Caenorhabditis elegans: one gene and its partners. The protein of the gene in region 3 purifies or fractionates together with the protein of the main gene of each other region. This does not show direct contact. Each region holds a gene or a part of one and is shown on either strand. Other genes may lie near its edges.

Evidence for each region.
Region 1: the proteins of ndrr-2 (region 3) and mel-32 fractionate together in Caenorhabditis elegans (co-fractionation; one large-scale study listed by BioGRID). This does not show direct contact.
Region 2: the proteins of ndrr-2 (region 3) and spp-5 fractionate together in Caenorhabditis elegans (co-fractionation; one large-scale study listed by BioGRID). This does not show direct contact.
Region 4: the proteins of ndrr-2 (region 3) and Y47G6A.21 fractionate together in Caenorhabditis elegans (co-fractionation; one large-scale study listed by BioGRID). This does not show direct contact.

What each region holds. Positions count from the first base shown.
Region 1 is NC_003281.10:6,439,712-6,444,726, forward strand, and holds mel-32 (Serine hydroxymethyltransferase), read right to left. Parts: upstream 3,105-5,015; coding exon 3,042-3,104; intron 2,157-3,041; coding exon 2,025-2,156; intron 1,980-2,024; coding exon 1,642-1,979; intron 1,594-1,641; coding exon 770-1,593; intron 718-769; coding exon 551-717; downstream 1-550. Other genes in the region: C05D11.1 (uncharacterized protein), read left to right, coding at 1-137; C05D11.13 (Vicilin-like seed storage protein At2g18540), read right to left, coding at 3,404-4,073, 4,112-4,260. UniProt on the Caenorhabditis elegans protein: Interconversion of serine and glycine.
Region 2 is NC_003284.9:7,319,404-7,322,320, reverse strand, and holds spp-5 (Saposin B-type domain-containing protein), read left to right. Parts: upstream 1-1,966; 5' UTR 1,967-1,967; coding exon 1,968-2,120; intron 2,121-2,168; coding exon 2,169-2,327; 3' UTR 2,328-2,384; downstream 2,385-2,917. Other genes in the region: T08A9.13 (uncharacterized protein), read left to right, coding at 1-20, 68-322.
Region 3 is NC_003284.9:16,123,388-16,130,385, forward strand, and holds ndrr-2 (NDRG family member Related), read right to left. Parts: upstream 5,429-6,998; 5' UTR 5,427-5,428; coding exon 5,291-5,426; intron 4,412-5,290; coding exon 4,176-4,411; intron 3,975-4,175; coding exon 3,888-3,974; intron 2,777-3,887; coding exon 2,699-2,776; intron 2,349-2,698; coding exon 2,218-2,348; intron 2,172-2,217; coding exon 2,039-2,171; intron 1,189-2,038; coding exon 1,012-1,188; 3' UTR 555-1,011; downstream 1-554. Other genes in the region: ZK1073.2 (uncharacterized protein), read left to right, coding at 215-363.
Region 4 is NC_003279.8:3,556,771-3,561,360, forward strand, and holds the start of Y47G6A.21 (DeHydrogenases, Short chain), read right to left. Parts: upstream 3,038-4,590; 5' UTR 3,027-3,037; coding exon 2,862-3,026; intron 2,259-2,861; coding exon 2,166-2,258; intron 1,799-2,165; coding exon 1,619-1,798; intron 1,562-1,618; coding exon 1,455-1,561; intron 1,392-1,454; coding exon 1,328-1,391; intron 633-1,327; coding exon of another isoform or gene 463-632; intron 404-462; coding exon of another isoform or gene 271-403; intron 227-270; coding exon of another isoform or gene 1-226. Other genes in the region: Y47G6A.22 (DeHydrogenases, Short chain), read right to left, coding at 3,224-3,382, 3,436-3,499, 4,477-4,583.

The DNA of each region.
Region 1 (5,015 bases), on a different chromosome or scaffold from region 3:
CACCACTGGCTCGTCTTTTCGATGAGAAGTGCTTTGTCCGTTCAATTGCTGTTCATCCATCAAAACTCAATGAGATGAAGAAGGCATTCCCAGGAAGTAGCAAGATCAAGATTTCGGACTTGCAGTTTGCATGCTAGTTTGCCTGTTCTTTTATATTCTTATTATTCTTCCATCATTTCCCCGTTTGTTGGCTCTGGTTTTATTTATTTCTTTCGGTAGCTTGTTTTGTTAAATAAAGTTCTGGTCTGATTTGAATTAAACACAAATGGAAAAAAGTCGGTGAACGTTGCATTAAACAGCTACCCCAAACATCACTGTGAGAGAACTGTAGAAGGGTCCAGATGTGTGCGGCATTCAGAAAATTCAGCATACGGCTTATGCCAAATGCCGTAGATAATCTCAATTGCTTTCTAAATATAAAAAAACAATTAAATTTGAAAAGATCAATATTTATTTCTCCTGTTTAAAATTCAAACATGAAAGTGATAAAATGGCGGGAATGTTTTTATAAATACAAATGCAATGTTGATAATGACGATGATGATTAAAATTAGAAAGTTTCGTTTCCTGGAATCTCGAACTTCGTGGAGAACTCCTCAACACGTTTGGCGAGATCAGCGACGTCTTTCTTGAATGGTTCATTGGTCTCAGTGAATGATTTGAAGTCTTTCAATGTCTTTCCAGCCTCAGCATTGTACTTCTTTGCGATTTGAACACCTGAAATCAATATTTTAGATTAATGTTGAAGATTACAGTTGAAAAAACATACCCTCATGAATGAAATCTCCGACTTTCTCGAAATCTTGCTCCTGGAATCCACGGGAGGTGAGAGCTGGAGTTCCGAGACGAATGCCTCCTGGTCTCAAAGCAGAAACGTCTCCTGGGCACGTATTCTTGTTGCAAGCAATATGAGCGAGATCAAGCACATGCTCAGCACGAGCTCCTTCAACTCCGATTGGGCGCAAGTCAACAAGCAACAAATGATTGTCGGTTCCTCCGGTTGCCAAAGCATATCCATGCTTCTTCATTCTCTCGGCCAAGGTTTTGGCATTCTTCAACACTTGCTCTCCGTACTGAACAAAATCTTCAGAAAGGCATTGTCTCAAAGCAACGGCAATTCCAGCAATAGTGTGATTGTGTGGTCCACCTTGAAGTCCTGGGAACACGGCCGAGTTGATCTTCTCCTCCAAATCATACAAAGTGTCAACTCCCTTTGCGTTGGTAGATCGGACACCCTTTCTGTAGAAGATCAAAGCTCCACGTGGTCCTCTGAGCGACTTGTGCGTCGTTGTGGTTACAACATCAGAATACTCGAATGGTGATGGGATAAGTCCAGCGGCAACAAGTCCGGAGATGTGAGCCATATCAGACATCAAATAGGCTCCAGCCTTTGTGGCAATCTTACGGAAACGTTCATAATCGAGATGACGAGCGTAGCAGGAAACTCCGGCAATGATGGCTTTTGGACGGAAAAGCATTGCATTCTGCTCAAGCTTGTCATAGTCGATCAATCCAGTTGTTGGATCAACCTTGTATGGAAGAGACTGGAAGAATTCAGAAGTCGCAGAGACTTTGCGAGCTGGGGTGAAGAATCTGAAATTAAATGTATAATTCATTCGAGTCTAATCTAGATAACCTTACCCATGAGTCAAATGACCTCCATCTGGAAGATCGAGGCCCATAATGCGTCCATTGGATCCAACGATGGCAGTGTAGACTGCGAAATTGGCTGGTGATCCGGACAATGGCTGCACATTGACTCCCCACTTGGCTGGATCAAGTCCGAATACCTCAAGAGCTCTCTTCTGGCAAAGGAGCTCCATCTGATCGATGAACTCATTTCCTCCGTAATACCGAGCTCCAGGGTATCCTTCACTGTATTTGTTGCACATTGCCGAGCCAAGAGCATCCATAACAGCCTTGCTTGTGAAGTTCTCGGAAGCGATGAGCTCAAGTCCACGACGCTGCCGCTTCTTCTCCTGAAAAAAACAAATGACTAAGATTTGAGAAACATTAAGTCTTACATTTTTCATGATATCGAAAACTTCTGGATCAACTTTCTCAACATGGTCCACCAAAATGTTCTCGTTGTTGGTGTACTTGTGGCGCTGAACTTTAGCCAATGGTGTGTGCACTTGACGATCAGCCATTTTACACTGTAAAACCAAATTAAATTAAGCAAAGAAGCGAAAAAATCGGGAACATATTCAACACAAAAGCTGACGCGTTGGCAACACGTATATGCATGGGAAAGTGTGGAGAAAATAAGAATAAAACTGGATTCGCGGTAGGCTATGATGATATCTGAACCGGGAAGTTTTCGAGATTGGGCGCATCCCGGATCGTAGATCAAAACTGATAAGTCAAAAGTTACTCATTAGAAATTGTAATTAAAGAGGTATTCGAGCGTGGTTTTAACAAGTGTACACTAACTTAGTAATAAAAACAAAAAAGTGGTCTCTAATAACAAAAATATAATGCAGATAACTTTCAAATGCAAACACAAAACATTGCTACAGAAAACTATGCAAAGAAACCATTTAAAACAAGTGCAAACGATACTGCAGCGTGTACATGTGTTATTCAGAACTGCAAAAAGAAACAACGGAGCAAGACATTTTCACAGCTTATGGTAAAAATATACGCGGAGAAAATAGAGAACTACGATTATCAATGCAACATCACAGAGATGATCATTAAAAATAAAAATAAAGAAGTGAATAGAGTTTATCAGTTACCAAGTTGTTATCAAAGCAACAAAAGCGGCGCCTGTGGGTCAATGTCAACGATATTTCTATTGCTGGACAAGTCGGAGACAAGCCCGAGATAACTGAGTGAAAGGCGGAAAATGGCAAGATATTATGATGAAGATCACTTTCTGATCAGAAACAACGAGTGAACCATGGACGGTGCCGTTTTGGGAATGAAAATGGGGAGAGAAAAGCAAATTGCAACTTTGAGCGGGCAAAATTTTTACAAATTCAAATATTCGCGCCATGCGTATTTTACAACTGATCCCACGCGAAAGTGCACACACAAACCTGGGAGCTGGCTCCGGCAAATAATCCAGTTGCTGCTCTTCTGCTCACTATCCTTGCAAACATTTTGTGCCTGAAAATATTAAAATAACAAATAAAATTCTAGAACTTCAGAATAAATGTGTTAAAACAGAAATCGACTATCGATCAGACCACTGATCGTTATCAGTCTTATCAGTTTCTCTGTTTTGTTGCAAACAAGAGATGAAACTTGCCGTTTTTATTGCGATTCAACAGAATTTAAAGACTGATAGGTGGAAATGAGCGGACCGTTGATTCAAAAAATTAATACGATTTTATCGGTTTTAAAAGCAAAAGGTCAAACAACAAACTACTTATTTATTAAAAAAATTTTCAATTAATTTTTATAGACCCGAAAGAGTTCCATCGCTCAATGATCCCGTGATGACTGCAAGTGATTCTTCACTTTGCCCTGCTTGCTTCAAAATTCGATTTTGACGTTTTCGTGCAGCATCTTGGATTTTCCTAGCTGATTTTTGCTCTGAAGTCTCCGTCTGCAAATATTGCCGTCTTCTTGCTGCATCACGCTGTCGCCGATTTTCAGCTTCCTCTGGTGTTTCATTCTTAATAGCATCCCGACGTCTCTGAGCATTCTTGGCTCTACGCAATTCAGCTTCTTCTGGAGTTTCAGCCAGGAGACTCTTCCTTCTCCGTTCCGCATCCTTATTCCTTCTTTCCTGAGCTTTTTCGAATGACTCCCTTTGCAGATACTGGCGTCGATGCTCTGCAGCCTTTATTCTTCGATTATTTGCCTGATCTTCCGACTCTTGCATTCTTTCCATTTTTTTTCTTTCAGCTTGCCTTTTCAATCGTTCTCTATATTCTTCTTCTGTCTCTTCTGAGCATCTCTTCCTTTTATAGTCTGCAGCCTTGGCAAGACGTGTGTGAGTCTCCTCTGATGTTTCACGAGCTCTTCTCAGACGTTTCCGATGTGCTTCTTTGGAGAGTCTGCATTCTCTAGATCCTTCTTGAGGTTCGGATGAACTTGGAATATCCGTAATATGAGGTCTGAAACTTAAAAAAAATTTTAATATGCTATTTACTACTCTTACTCATCACTTGAACCAGGTAAAAATGTTGCTATAAAATTCTGAATTGTTTCTTCTAGGCCAGCATTTTGTGGACTTTCAGATTTATTCCCATTACTCTTCTCATCTTCTTCTTCGTCTTCGACAATATTTTTGCAATCTTTTCTACTCATTCTGAACTTACAAATATACATTAATTTTTCAGAAAACTTGAAAATCTACATTACTAAATACACAGACAGAGGTTTTGCGACTCCTGCGCCAAGAATACGGTGCCGATTCTCGACACGACATGTTTTAGTTAAATGAGAAAAACTTGTGCGCCTTCAAGGAGTACTGTAATTTTTTAATCTAGTTGGTGTGGAACCGTTCATGATTTTTCATACTTTTCTTACGTTCTGTTAAAATTCGTGTTTTTTTTTGAGTTTTCAATAGTTAAGGATGTTTTTCATCGGAATACGATGGAAAATCGATGAACATTCCGCAACTACAAAAGTTTGTAATTAAAGTACTCTCCAAAGGTGTGCACCGTTTTGAAATTATCACATTAAAAAAAATATCATGTCGAGACTGGGTACCGTTTTTGGCGCAAAAATCTCAAAATTACGCGTCGGAGTAATAAGAAAAATATAAATAAGGCTCAAAGAAAACAGGAGAATCGATGACGGCTTTCTGTGTGTCTGTGTGTCTTCATATCTTCATTGTCGGTGTTTCTGTGTGTATGTCTGTCCAGAGACAAACATACACGAGCGCAGACGTCTTGTTTGATTATCTGCGTCTCTTCTTCTATACAACACTTTGCAATCTTTTCAGAAAAGGATACTGTAGTGGGATGAATGTATATATGTACCACAATTATGGCAATATTGAAGCTTTTCCGTTCAAGTACACACTAATCAGAAATCTATTCATTTGGTTTGGATAAAAA
Region 2 (2,917 bases), 8.8 Mb from region 3:
CCAGACGAACAGCAGAACTCGTAATTTTCGAATCAGAATTATTTGAACTTTAAAAACAGTTTTTCAGAGAAACGCAGAACTGGAAAAGCTTCAAAAAGCGAAGGAGCTCGAGCAACGAACTAGGGTTGAATGTCAACAGGCTCTTGACCAATACGATGTACTGAAAAAAATCCCAACATTGACGGAACAAGAACGGAAAGAAAACGAGACGCTCACCAAAAAGAAAATAGCTAAAGCCATTATTGCTGCACAAAAAGCTTCTCAAGCTGTGATGGATGCACGTGTAATTATGGGAGCCAAAGGCGAGGAACTGACAAAGTGAAAATAATTGATTTGTCTGTTAAAATTTCTAAATTATTGAAATTTTATAATTAATAGGTCTCAATCTGATGCAGTCTTTCCATATGAACATTGTTGCATTGTCTTAATTCTGACATGGTCTTGGTACATTGTCTGTCCAACATTTCAAAGCAAAATATCATTATTTGGGAAAATCTTTAAAAGCATTTATATGTTGTTAAAATGACCCAATATCAAAACGCAAAACGTTAGAAAAAAATTATCTATGAGCAGTTAGTTCGATGATATTGGTTGAAAACTCAGTTAAATATGACTATACTTTTGTAAGTCGGCCAAAACATGTTTTTTTGAATTTTCGCCAATTTTTAACCATGTTTTAAATAGTTGTCATTGACCAATATAGAAATTTTAAACCTGCTGCATCGCTTCCATTTTTTTTTCAAAAAATTTACTTAAAAAAGGCCAGTTACCAAAACTTCGATTGAAAATTTTGAATTCCCTATTCACAATGGGAGATCAGAAGCAAAGACAAGGAAATGAAAAATTATATCAACACTTTTCCCATAGGGAGTGAATTAATTTTGACTCTTAAAGCTAGACAATGTGCGAATATTTTGAATGTTACCACATGATAAGTTTTTTGTTAGAGTTATGCGATATTGAGTCATAAATCGGTTATAATATCATACAAAGGATCTTAGGTTTCTAGGGAAGTTAATAGAAACAGTCTATGCGGGAAAATCTGAAACGGAATGAATAACCTCACGTTCAAAGATATAGTTGCAAAAAAATATTAAATGTTGTTTCAAACCGCTCCGAATACAAATGCCACAAGTCCTTTCATAATTTTCAGAAACAATAAAGTTTTATCTAAAACTAATCCATTGCCTCGAACCTCTCGGTAAATCTAGTGGACACTATTTTGTTAAACAACTTTTACTTACTATGAATCTAAACTTATTTGATGACTATTTTTGCAGTCTTACAAAATTGAATAAGTTGAACAACATTATTTTTCCAGATGAACATCAGAGCGGAATAAAACACTGAAACGTTGTGGAAACTAAATACTACCGCCGAAACAGTAATATATTTCTGGAAAAAAATAAACACCTACTTCTCTTACTTTGTGGTATTTTTACTCGAAAACAGTTATATATTCAAAATATAGTTTCATTAATTTTTTAAATTCATGTTTATGTCGTGGCGTGGCAATAATACTAAATGTTTATATTAACTTGAAAGTTCGCAAAAAATTGATCATAAACGAGTTTATATTTGTACATTACCTACTCGTTCTATCCAAAGAAAGTTTAAATATATTTACAAATAACAACGTAAGTTGACGTTATTCTAAATGTCATACATCTGGATCGTTAAAAAACAGTTATCATGCATTGCAACATAGTATAAATGTTTAGTACATTCCTGCAAGCCGGACAATTTTCCTATTTATCACGAGTTTAATGCATATGTTGTCGATCTGTAACCTTTTTTCTATTCCATACATTATGCTCTCCGCTTTCGACGCTGCTTCTTATCAAATGGTCAAGTAATCAAAATTGGGAAGTTTTTGCTATAAATGCGCCCCTATCACCGCGTGCTCTTTCAATTCTTCCTTGCGTTTTGATGCTTCAGTGTTTCATTTCAATTTATTTTATTACAGAATGAAGACTCTTCTTGTACTAGCCGTTTTGGTCGCCGTTGCCTCAGGACTTGCCATCCCAGAAAATAGAAGCGCATTGAGCTGTCAAATGTGTGAGTTGGTTGTCAAGAAATACGAAGGATCCGCCGATAAGGATGCCAATGTCATCAAGAAGGTAATAAATCCGTGCTAGAAAAAAACCAACAACTCTTGAATATTCTAGGATTTCGATGCTGAATGCAAGAAGCTTTTCCACACCATCCCATTCGGAACCAGAGAATGCGATCATTACGTCAACAGCAAGGTAGACCCAATCATTCACGAGCTGGAAGGAGGAACCGCTCCAAAGGATGTGTGCACCAAGCTTAACGAATGCCCATAAACGGATCATTGAAATTTTTACTTGTTTGAAACTTTTACCAATAAATTTTCGATTTTTAAAAGTTTCAACCAGAATTTTGATAAATATAGAATAATTGTGACCAGAAATGTATTGGACCTTATTTTTTAGAAAGGGCCTCAAGTCTAATAACGAATCATAATAGTACTGATAAGGACTGTAATCCAAAAAGCTTCAATCCAGGAGAGTGGGGAACAATTGAAAAAATGTGTATCATTATGATTTTAGAGTTTGGAACTTGCCCGGTCTGCACACCATGTACACGTGACTGTTATTGCTTGAAACGCTGAAAGCTCGTTGCAAGCTTTTCTTGAGTTTCTAGAATTATCTTGAAGCTTGAAAGCTTTTCGCGCACAATTATTGATTGAACAGCGAAAAATGAGTACACTTTTTTCAAAACCTTTGATACTTTTTTGACACATTAGGAGTTTGGTTTGATAAGTTTTCTTTGTGAAATTGTCCTGCCCTGGACACCTAATTTTTACAGATAACAACATACAATTTCAGGGAAGTGCCGCGTCTTGATGATTTGCAATATATAATACCTGTAACTTTTTCACAATTATCGAAAC
Region 3 (6,998 bases):
ATCTTTGCAAAATTTCATCGATTTTCACTGCAAAAAACGGAACAGAGTACCCAGCTGATATTATAAAATATTCCTAATCGTGTACAGTATTTGGATGACAAAACTGCAAACTTTGGCAAATATGGAAAACAAAATTGAAAAAAAAAACAAATGTGGCAACCAAAATGGATGTACAGTATACCATTTCAATTTATTAATTTTGCTTCATTTCCAGAAGAGGAACTTCTGATAGTTTTGGAAATTTTCATCTCGCTCGCCGTGGTAATCATTGAAGTTTGGTTCCTGACAATTGTCCTCAAAGCCTACTCGTTTTTCACCGACAAGTACAACTACACCGGCGGAGACCGCGAGGACAACGTGTGAAATTGATTGCCAATCGTTTTTTTTTGTAATTTTTTTTCTGAATGTTTGCTAGTGTGATATTTTTTCCCCTTCCATGTACATGTACATTTTCCCCTCTTCAACCACCTACCCAATTTTCTCTTTTTGAATCAAAAATGTATTATCCGAATCCTCAAAAAAAAAAGAAGAAAAAGAAGAAAAAAAACGTTCACCGCCCAATATTCTATATTTATTTTATCCGGAAAAAGTTCGTTTTGAATAAAATATAAAATGGAAAGATAGAATGTGTGTGTGTGTAAAATGTATAGAGAAACTCAACTGAAAAGGTTGCGTTGAAATTGAGAATGCCGATAGTATAAGATAGAAGATAGATTGAATATTTGAAGGAATTTCAAGCTTTTTTCAAGGACATTGTTTTTAGGGGGGGGGGGTAACCATACAACACACAAAATATAAAAAGAGGTCCAAATTGCGGCAGACAAAATGTGGGGATATTGGAACTGAAAAAAAAGAATTACAACCATTTTTGTTGTTGGGATAAATATATATTTTTGGTTTTTTCAGATGGGGTGGGAATGGGACTTGGGGCGTAGAGAGTTGGGAAAATCGAAAAAAAAAAGAAAATCAAAGAAAAGTACAAAATAGAGACATAGGAAAACGTACAGATTCTTAAGCAGATGGGACTGGTGGAAGATGTGGTTGGGTGACGGACATGCGACGCGGGCGGTCGGCCTCTTCCATCGAGCTGGACAGAGTTCTTTGGCGCTCCATTCCTGGGATGGCGACTCCCGAGAGCACTCCGCATCCTTTGCAGAGAAGGATCAGCGAGCGGGCGAGCTTGTCTGGCTGAAATTTGGGAGATTGGAAATGATAAACGTTCCGCTGAAAACCTCGAAAAAAAGCAGCAATTTTCAAAAATTTTCAGATTTTTCCGACTGTCCGTTTTTGACAAAATTCTTATTGGTGCTATTCCACGTAGGATTTGGAACATTTTACTTTGGGGAGGAAAAATCGAGGGAAAGTTTTTTTTTTTGAATAATTCCATTTGTATAAAAAAATGCCCATTTTGATATTTGTTTCTTCTTTTTAAGGTTGAAACTCCATTCAAAAACATTATTTCGCCCCGGAATATTTGTCTCCAAGGATAAATATCCTACTGAAGTTTTTCCCCGGTTTCTCTCGTATGTTATATGAAGCTAGGGTTTTCATGTAGGCTGCCGCGCCTGCCTCGCGCCGCGCCACCTGTATAGTGTGGCGCGGAACCCGAAAAGTGTGCAGAAATGAGGCGAGAGGCCGGCAGGCTGGAGACAGACTTCAGGCCCTGAAACGCGCCTGCCTCCCATGGAAGCACTATATAAAGTAATTTTGAATTATGTATGGATTATTTAATATCAGTATTGATAAATCAGTATTGATAAAAATTAATATTTCCACGTGAAAACAGAGAATAGGTTCAGAAACTCAGAAATTCAGAAAAAAAATTAAAAAAAAAGAGGTTGAAGTTAGTTTCAGAATTCGAAATTAAAAAAAAAAATTTTATGGTACTTTTTGTTCAAAAAAGTCAATGAAATCTGTGAAATTTGAGTTCAAAGACATACACGTGTAAATTATGCGAAAATTTGTTTCAAGAGATCAGAATTATGTGCAGGATTCGATTTCATCAATATTTTTTTTCAAAACATAAACTGTAACTTACAGCCTCTTGCATAACATCGGCCACGTTGTCCACCACCAACAGAGTCGTTTTCTTCTTGTTCATCGACTTGTGAGTCGTGTAAACCGTGTGGAGATGAGAAGCCTTGCTTCCAGTCACCAAAAGTGCGTCCACTCTGAAAGTATAGTATACTAATATCAGCGGTTCAGTAGGAAACTCACGTCTCGAGCTTTGTTCCAATAGTTGAGGAGAGATCAGTACGTTTGGTGAAAGCGACGAGGTACTTGGACAAGTTCTTTGGGTTCAAGGTGGCCTTGAGCTCTTCCAAGTATTCCTGGCGAGATTTGGATTCCTGAAAGTAGAGAGTTTATTTTTTATTGCTTAATTATTTTCGATTTTCTATTACAACAAAAACATGTGCTTTCCCACATATGTACAACGCATTTCAGGGGCTAAAATCTAAGATCGATGGATCCAATTTTCGTAAGAGCAAGCAACCAAGAATCACTGATGGTGAAAAAAAAAAAAAGAATCGAAAGAAAAATACTACAAATTCTAAAAATCACTTGTTAAAAGTTTAAAATCATTACAGAACCAGCTAGTAAGTAGACTTACATCTCCCTGAAATGAAATGTTAGAAGACAGTTACAAAAATGTTTAGGAAAGCAAGCAGTGAATAATTTTCCAGTTGAGAAAACTTACTCCTCCAAATTTGTGGGCTAGCAAGTAGTCCCAGGCACCGTCCGACATGATGGAGTTCTCCAAACGCATGTTCATGACCTGCAAATGTATGAGATTGAAAATCATTTTTTTATAAATTTCATCAGTTGAACCAATTGGTTTTAACTGTCTTTATATCTAATTTTAGCGTACTACATAAAATGACAATTTTTAAAAATTAGGATTTCTTTAGAAATGTTTTACGGGAGACTCTGTAATGCTTCAACTTGAACGCATGTTCCAAGCGGGGCAACGTAATATTTTAAAAAATGTCTCAAAAAATTTAATGACAGTTCAAAATTTTTTATGAATTTTCAAAGTCTTGAATTTGGTTATTATGAGCTTTCTTAAAAGTGGAGTCGCGCGCCTGTGGGAATTTTTGTTTGAATACACTTATAATAATTCAAAACGACCAAATATCATGATAAAACATCCAAAAAACTTCAAATTTTTTAAAATTTCTAGTCAAAGTTTCGGCATGCAGTTTGATAAAGCAAAGAATATATCGTGTAAACTTTCTTCAATCGTTGAGATTTGGGAATTTTCCAACGAACTGTTTTGTTTTAAATATTAGTAAAAATAGTCATTACATATCTATAGAGGAAAATCTGATAACCATTTTTTGATTCCGTAAGTTTTTATAGTTTTTGGAACATTTAACTCCTTGGAGCGCGCTTTAGAACAACATTCAATATTAAATCTTTTCAATGAGAATTTGCTCCACGTTTTCTAGTAATTTCTTTGCTTGGGCTTGTACTTTTATAACAGAATTTTAGAAGTTTCCATTAAGAAAAACCAATCTTAAGAAGTTTTGGATCTTTTGACCCCTCTACGTCATTGCCTTTCATGAAGCAATCTTCAACGATTCCCCTCTCTCTCTCTCTTTTTTTTCAGCGGTTTTCATCTTGATATAATCAAATTTTCCTCGCTCATTTTTTTCCCAAAAAATTATTTTCCTTTTGGCCCTCCATCCTCATTCAAAATTCTTTTTTTAGCTTCTTCCCACCCTCTTGGAGGACTCCCTACTGCTCATTGCTCGTCAAAATGACGTTGGCGGCCGGCGGCGGCAAAGTATTGAGCCGAGTGCCGAGCCAGCTCAATGCAGATCAATTATCATTCTGTTACAACACCGTGCATCAGCATGTATTGAATGACAAATTGATGCGCTTACCTTTTCCTTGCAGTACTCAATAATTCCAGCAGTCGTAGATGTGCAGTGCACCAAGACGATTCCCATGATTCTGTTCGGGTGTCCCATCTGAAAAAAGTTTGCTCAAAATTTTCTGATGAAGTTTTCAAAAAAAACATCATTGTTTGCCACTGGCCAGTTGTTCGTTTATTTTTTCTATCCAAAACTCGCGAAAAAGTAAGTAAATCCAAGGCAAATAGTGATTCTTCTTTTTCAAAACTAACCCAACTACAAACAAATGTTCTTAAAGATCAAATATTATGAACTCACTGCAAATCGGCAGATGATATTGGCTCCGACTCCTTCTCCAAAAGCGATTGCTGACTTGACTTCGAATTTGTCGAGCACTGCACTCAGATCATCTCCGATTCCGTCAAGAGTTGGGAAGTCGCCGAAAAAGTCGGCCGAATTGTCCTCCTGTCCCGGAACGCAGACGTGGAGAAAGATGGCCTTCTCCTTGACGGTAGCCATGCTTGGGTGGTTGACGAAACGCACAAAACTCTTGTCTGAAAATTTGGAATTCTTATATATTTTTTGAATTTGATTCTCATGATCAAAGAATTACACATTTATTGAAAAGTGCACCTAATAGAAAAAAGCCTAAAATATGTTTTGAAATAATTTTTTAAACTTTTATAGTAGTTTAAATTTTTAAAACTGAATCTAGCAAAAATTGTTAAGTGTGCTAAAATAAACCTTAATTCTAAATTAGTTAAATATAACTAAATTTTTCAAAAACTCATGTTTCAAAATGACGTCATAGTTCAGTAATTTGAAAGCAAAACTTTCATAGTTATCCATGTAAAAAAAATTTTACTACATCAAACATTTTTCAGTCCCTTGTATTATGTTTTACGACTGGGATTTTAGATTGGATATTTATAAATCTTAAAGTTTAATCTAAAAGCGGCGGATTGTTGATTTTTTGTCTCAAAAACATCATACGGACACAAAGAAAAATACATCGAGATTGAAAAATAATTTCTGAAAATTCAAAAATATCAAGCTTTCTGACAAATAATGGGAGTGAAATAAAAATTGATATTTTAAAATTTGCAGTGACTTTTTGATTTAACCGAAAGTTCCAAAAAATGTTCAAATTTTAAAAATCATATGCTTATTAATAATATGACTTTTTGTCTCAAACATTCTGTTATTCAGAGTTAAAATTTTAGAGGAACGAATATATAGACCGAATCTCACTAAATTTTTCAAAATGCTAGTATATAATTCATTTTGATTTGAGGAAACTACCTATATAAAAAGTTTTGCCAAAATTTTCTAGAAATGGAATAATATTTTTGGCAGTTATTATCTTTGAGTTCCAGTTTTGAACAATTCAACATAACATTTTTTTTTTTCAGTAAAATTCCCAATTCACTCACGGTTAGTTCCAATATCGTGAACGGTCAGGATGATGGTTTTTCCGCCACGCTCCTCCAAATTTCCCTGAACGTAGACATGAAGAACTCCGCAGTTCTGGGCCTGGACGACCACCATTTGCAAGTTATCCTCGGACATTTCTGGAAGCAAACAAAAAAAGTCACAGTCACGCGTGAGAAATAAATGAACTAAAGTGAAACATGTTTTTTTTCTTGAAAGACGAAAGTTGACAAAGGAAGTATGTGAGGAAGACGAAAAAATCGAATTTCATAGACAGAGAGCGGGCACAAGAAGAGAGAGACAAACGCACAAAAAAGAGGGGAGAAGATGAAGCAAGAGCGGAGAGCTGTGTTGGGTGGCAGGAGAAAGAGGAGGAGAAGGCCGAGATGAGAAAAACAAGGAGGCAAAATGGGTGGCCGCTTTGGGAGCGTCTTCCAGAGGATGCACTGGTCACGTGTTAAGTCCCTTCTTTTTCGGTCTAAACAACATCAATAATTTTCGGCTTGTTTTTTTTTCGGCCAAGCTTAGGGAGCAAAAATTACAATGTTCGGGGTTCTGAGACATTGATGAAGAAAGAAGATTGATATGTGGAAATTTTGGTTTCTGATTTCTTGATGTTGATACATTTTTTAAAAATTGGTGGCTCTAGTAGGCAAGGCGCAGTCCCCTAGTTTTGCCCAAAAGCTGAAAAGTTGAGCAGAATTAGTACAAAACTCTGTAGAAACTGTAGAAAGTACTAGAAAGTACTAGATACTAGATACTAGATACTAGATACTAGATACTAGATATTAGTACTAAAAAGTAAAAAGTACTAGAAAGTATTGTAGAAAGCTCGGTGCAGGCCGCCATAAATCTATGAAACTTTTCTAAGTTGGAGTCAAGGAATTCAAATTTGAAACGCTTTGGGTGCCAAAAAAGTTTAAGACTCTGTTAAACCCAAGGTCATTTTTTGACAACATCTTTATGAAATTTGAGACCTTAGAATGAACAAAGAGGTTACATTAAAGAGATCATGTCTAAGGTTAGCCTAAGGTTTGCAAACTTCTTGATAAAGTTAGGACAAACTAGGGCAAAAATTTGACTCCAAATTCCAGATCCATGAAGATTTTCCAGTCCTTCCTAAAAATCGTCAGAGAAACTTGTTCTAAAAATTGATCTACAAGAAATTTAATGTAGAATATTTCAAATTTAAGTACACAAGCAATTTCAATACAAGGATAGGTGTCTGCTATTCTTTGTTCAACTTCGGTTGGCTGATACAAAAGTACGAGTACAGTAACCGTTACTTACTGAAAAGTACGTGATATTGTAGTTTCCATAAAGGCTTACTTAAAGTACGCAAAAAAATATACAGTTTTCAGCTCTGTGTGCAACTCAGAATCCTAAAGACTTAAAAAAACCAAAATCTTGAGACCTTGCAGTTGGTATTATCAAAATTTATTATTTTACTAAACTCGTGGAAAATTCAATACGATTATCCGATAAAAGTGTATATGGGTCGTGGGAAATTGACGAAATATTGTTTTGCACGTAAAAAGGAAATAGGACAAAAAAATCAAGTGACTTCCAGAACTCTCCTAGACAATACTGAATAACTGAAAAGTGGAATTCTCACGTCACCAGAATTTTTCGCGTCTTATCACATTTTGTTGTTGACTATTTTTTTGTATCAATTCTACATGTAGTTTCAGGAAGCAAAAATGCGGTCAA
Region 4 (4,590 bases), on a different chromosome or scaffold from region 3:
GAATGGCTGATGTAGCACAAATAGGACGTCGTCATTCTCCATTCGTTATCAATCGTGTCCGAGTGAAAGAGGAGAGCAAGTACCTGCTTCTGCGTGAAGTTGATGTTCTCTCACCACAAGATGCGCTGGGGTCCGGCGAGACGTCGGCGGCCGTCGTCGCTTTCCTCTATGATGTCTCGAATTCATTCGCGTTCTGCGCCACAGTTTATCAGAAATATTTCTATAGGTGGGTTTTCAAGATCCAATTCCCAATAATTTCAATATTTACAGAACAAAAACGCCGTGTGTCATGATTGCCACAAAAGTTGAACGGGAAGAAGTTGACCAGCGTTGGGAAGTGCCGCCGGAGGAATTCTGTAGACAATTTGAGCTCCCGAAACCAATCAAGTTCTCGACGGGCAATGTAGGCTAGCTTATAAGCTTATAAGCTTCAACTGCGGTTTCACCGTCTTAATATTTCAGATTGGTCAATCCTCTTCACCGATCTTCGAGCAGCTCGCCATGATGGCAGTTTATCCACATCTCCGTCGTGTTTTCTACCTCAACGACTCGAATCTTCTCTCCAAAATCACATTCGGCGCTGCCATAGTAGCTCTAGCTGGTTTGCAACACCAGTCTCTCGCCGTCTAGGATTCAATTGACCTGCAGCCAAGCTGTCTTCAATCCGTTAATTTTTTAATTTTATTTTTCCATTGTTCGTTGTTGTAATAAACGCAATTCTTATTAATCTAAGATTTCAATTTTAATATGAAAATCGGCGGGAGCGAGAAAAAAATCGAACCGGGCGCGTAGTGTGTGCGAAAGAAATGCGCTCGGCGCGCGAAAATTGTGCGACTAGATCGCGAGACAGTAGTCTAGTCGCGCCCCGTCCGCGCGCCAGTCGCACCCTCGTCGCGCGCCAAGGGAGCCAAACTACCGAGTACAGTAGTCATTCAAAGAACTACTGTAGTTTTCGCTACGAGATAATTTGCGCGTCAAATATGATGTGCAGTACGCATTCTCAGCATTTCGTGTTCCCGTAATGTCGCTGTGTAGAATTTGACCCACAGAAAAGGGCGCGCAAGGAATAATGGGCGGAGTTGAAAATGCAACTCCGCCGCACTGTTTTTCGTCTATTTTTCCGCATTTTTAAAAATCAAACAATCAATTTATCTTAATTTGTCAGGTTGAATAATCGAAATCTTGCTTTAGAATTACTTTAATTATTTGATCTTGCTGTGAATATTTTAAAAAAACAGTTAAAATTTTAATTAAAATAGAATCGTGCGGCGGAGTTGCGCTTCCGACTCCGCCCATTACTTCTTGCGTGTCGTTAGAATAGACTTACTGCCGCATATGTAGCTTCATCCTGCCCAGATGCTCGATGAATGTTGGTTACAATGACTCCTGGGCTGAAATTTATTTTAATTATTCTCAATTTTTGGGCTCTTAATATGAAAATATTTAAATCTCACCAAACAGCATTAACACGAACTCCATTCGGAGCCATTTCCAGAGCCAAACATTTTGTGAATTGATCTACGGCCGATTTGGACATACAGTAATATGTGACCCCAGCGAACTGAAAATTGCGAATTCGAAATATATTTTTTTTTAATTTCCAAAAGAAAAATCATACAGGGCACGGTCCATTAATACTGCTGACATTGACAACAGTTCCTTTTGTTGTAATAATATGTGGAAGAGCTGCACGTGTCAGGCGGATCAAACTACGAACATTCACATTCATTAGCTCATCGTAGACTTCAATTCCAGAATCGAGAACTGGTCCGGCACGCAGAATCCCGGCCGAATTGATCTGAAATTTAGAATATTTTAAGGGTAGAATGGGAAATTTCTCGAAAAAAAAACTATGGATCCTGGAAAAGTGAAGTTTTTTATTTTTCAAGTTTAAATTTTGAATAGTATTGACTTCATAAAATTGAAAAAAAACCTATTGTAGTTCCGCAATTGTTCCTGGGATACGAACTTAAAGGCGCACGCAATTATCTAGTTGGGTCTCACCGCGCAAAAACATTTTTCGTGGCAAGACCCAACCGAATAAATCCGTGATCCTCTATGTACGCGTTTCTGAAAATTTTGTAAATAATAAATGGATAAACTCTAAATTTCCGAAAAACTTTTCTCTCGATAGTTTCAAATTGTTTCGAACTGAATATCCTCACCAATGAGTCAATTCTTCCGAATTTTTGTACAGTTGCATCCACAATTGCTTTGGGCGCCTCATCAGAGCTCAGCTCCACTGCAGTTATCAGAATCTGGAATGAAAATCGATTTTTTAATTGATGTCGCTATTTTTTCCACCTAAAAACGTTCAATCCCCTTTTTTTGCAAAATTTTGCGATTTTTGGTCTCGAAACGACATAATAAAATTCATAGCTACAGTACCTGCAAGTGTTTGTAATTTTTAATGATTTTTAGTATACTTCTTGATATTCGATGAGTTTTAATATTTTTTTTTGTATGTGTCAAGACCATGGCGGCGGTTTTTTTTAATTAAAAAAATAATTTTTTTTGTTTTTTCGACAAAAAAACGGTGTTTCCAAAAATTACAAACGAGGAAAAAAAATCGAAATTTTTTTGTGATAACTGCTATCATGAGAACACAAAATTCTGAGAATGCGTAATGCACAACATAATTGACGCGCAAAATATCAAAACTACAGTAATTCTTTAAATGACTACTGTAGCGCTTGTGTTGATTTACGACACCAGAGTTACAGTAGTAATTTGAAGGATTACTGTAGTTTTCGCTACGAGATATTTTGCGCGTCAAATATGTTGCGCAATACGCAATCTCAGAATTCTGTGTTCCCGTAATACTGTACTTTCCGTCACAGTTCCTAAAATATAAAACTCACATCATCAGCCGAAATTGCACCCTCTGAAATACATAGTGCTGCGACTTCCTTCAAAGAATCCGTATTTCTTCCGGTCAGCGAGAGTTGGTACTTTTTTTTCGCGAACAGAAGAGCCGTGCCTTTTCCGATTCCCGAACTTGCTCCGGTGATGATGGCGACTGGCATTTTCGGATACTCTGAATAAATTCAAAACTGAATCAAAAAAAAATCGATTTTTTTTCAAAAAAAAAAAAAATTAAGCAAGGAAAAAACCACTATAAAGGATTCAATAAAAACACAATTAAAAAAAATACATGTATCTCTCTATTTATTACATGATAAAAGTTCAAAACAATCTCAATATGAGACAAAAAAGCTAATATTTATCTCGGATGCATGATTCCGCGGCCTCCGTCAACACGAAGAAGTTCTCCAGTAGTGAATGAACTTTTCTCAGAGGCGAGGAAATAGATTGCCTCAGCAACTTCATTGGCATCACCGGGACGGCCGAGTGCGTGTGTCGTTTTACTACGTTCCAAGAACTGAAAGAAATGATGATATTTATTTGTCAAGGTCAGTGCAGCAGGTTTTATACCGCAGAATATGTTGTCTCGTCTTGACCAGATGTACGATGCAGGTTGGTCACGGTGACCCCTGGGCTGAAATTTTTGGAGAAATGACAAATTTATATGGGTTTATTAAGGGAACACAATATTTTGAGAATGCGTATTGCGCATCATATGTGACGCGCAAAATATCAAAACTACAGTAATTCTTTAAATGACTACTGTTGCACTTGTGCCGATTTACGGGTTTTTTTATTTATCAAAAGATTATTGAAAATGAGAAAATAATACGAAGAAACGAAGAAAATAAATTAATTTCCAAAATCGAGCCCGTAAATCGACACAAGCAGTACAGTAGTCAGTTAAAGGATTACTGTAGTTTTGATATTTTGCGCGTCAAATATGTTGCGTAAGACGAATTCCCAAAATTTTGTGTTCCCGTAATACGTGTGTTGTTAGCGTTTCATTCGACAAAAAATGAGAAAGTTAGCGATTTTTGCACCAAAATACGGTAACCGGTCTCGAAGCGATCTTTTTTTTTTCAATTCAAAAGTGCGTGCGCCTTTAAAGGAGTACTGTAGTGTACTGTAGTTACTTACTCCTAGTTTTTGCGAGATTTTTAAAGCAATTTTCCATAGTTTAGCTCCTGTCTTTTAAAAAATTCGTTTTTATTCAAAAAATATAAAAATGCATCAAAATTTGAACAAAAACAAGAAAACCTATGAAAATTCGGCAAAAAGTTAGAATTTTCAGGAAATTTTCCTAGTTTTTTTTTGTGATTTCGTTCTTACTCATATTTTCCGATAATTTTTCGATTTTTCGAAAAAAAAAAAGCCAAAAATATTTTCGATTTCAAAAATAAATATTTTTCCGATTTTTCGCAAAATATCTTGAAATTTTGACAATTTTTCTTCTTTTTGGAAGAAATGTATATGTTTTCTTATTTTTCGAATATTTCTTTAAAAAACCTAAAAACCGAAAAAATCGTAATTACAGTACTCCTTAAAGAGAATCGATCGCTTCGAGACCTGGCACCGTAGTTTTTTGGCAAAAATCGCGAGAAAACTCACCAAACAGCATTAACACGAACTCCATTCGGAGCCATTTCGAGAGCCAAACATTTTGTGAATTGATCTACGGCCGACTTGGACATACAGTAATAGGTTACATTTGGGAACTGAAAA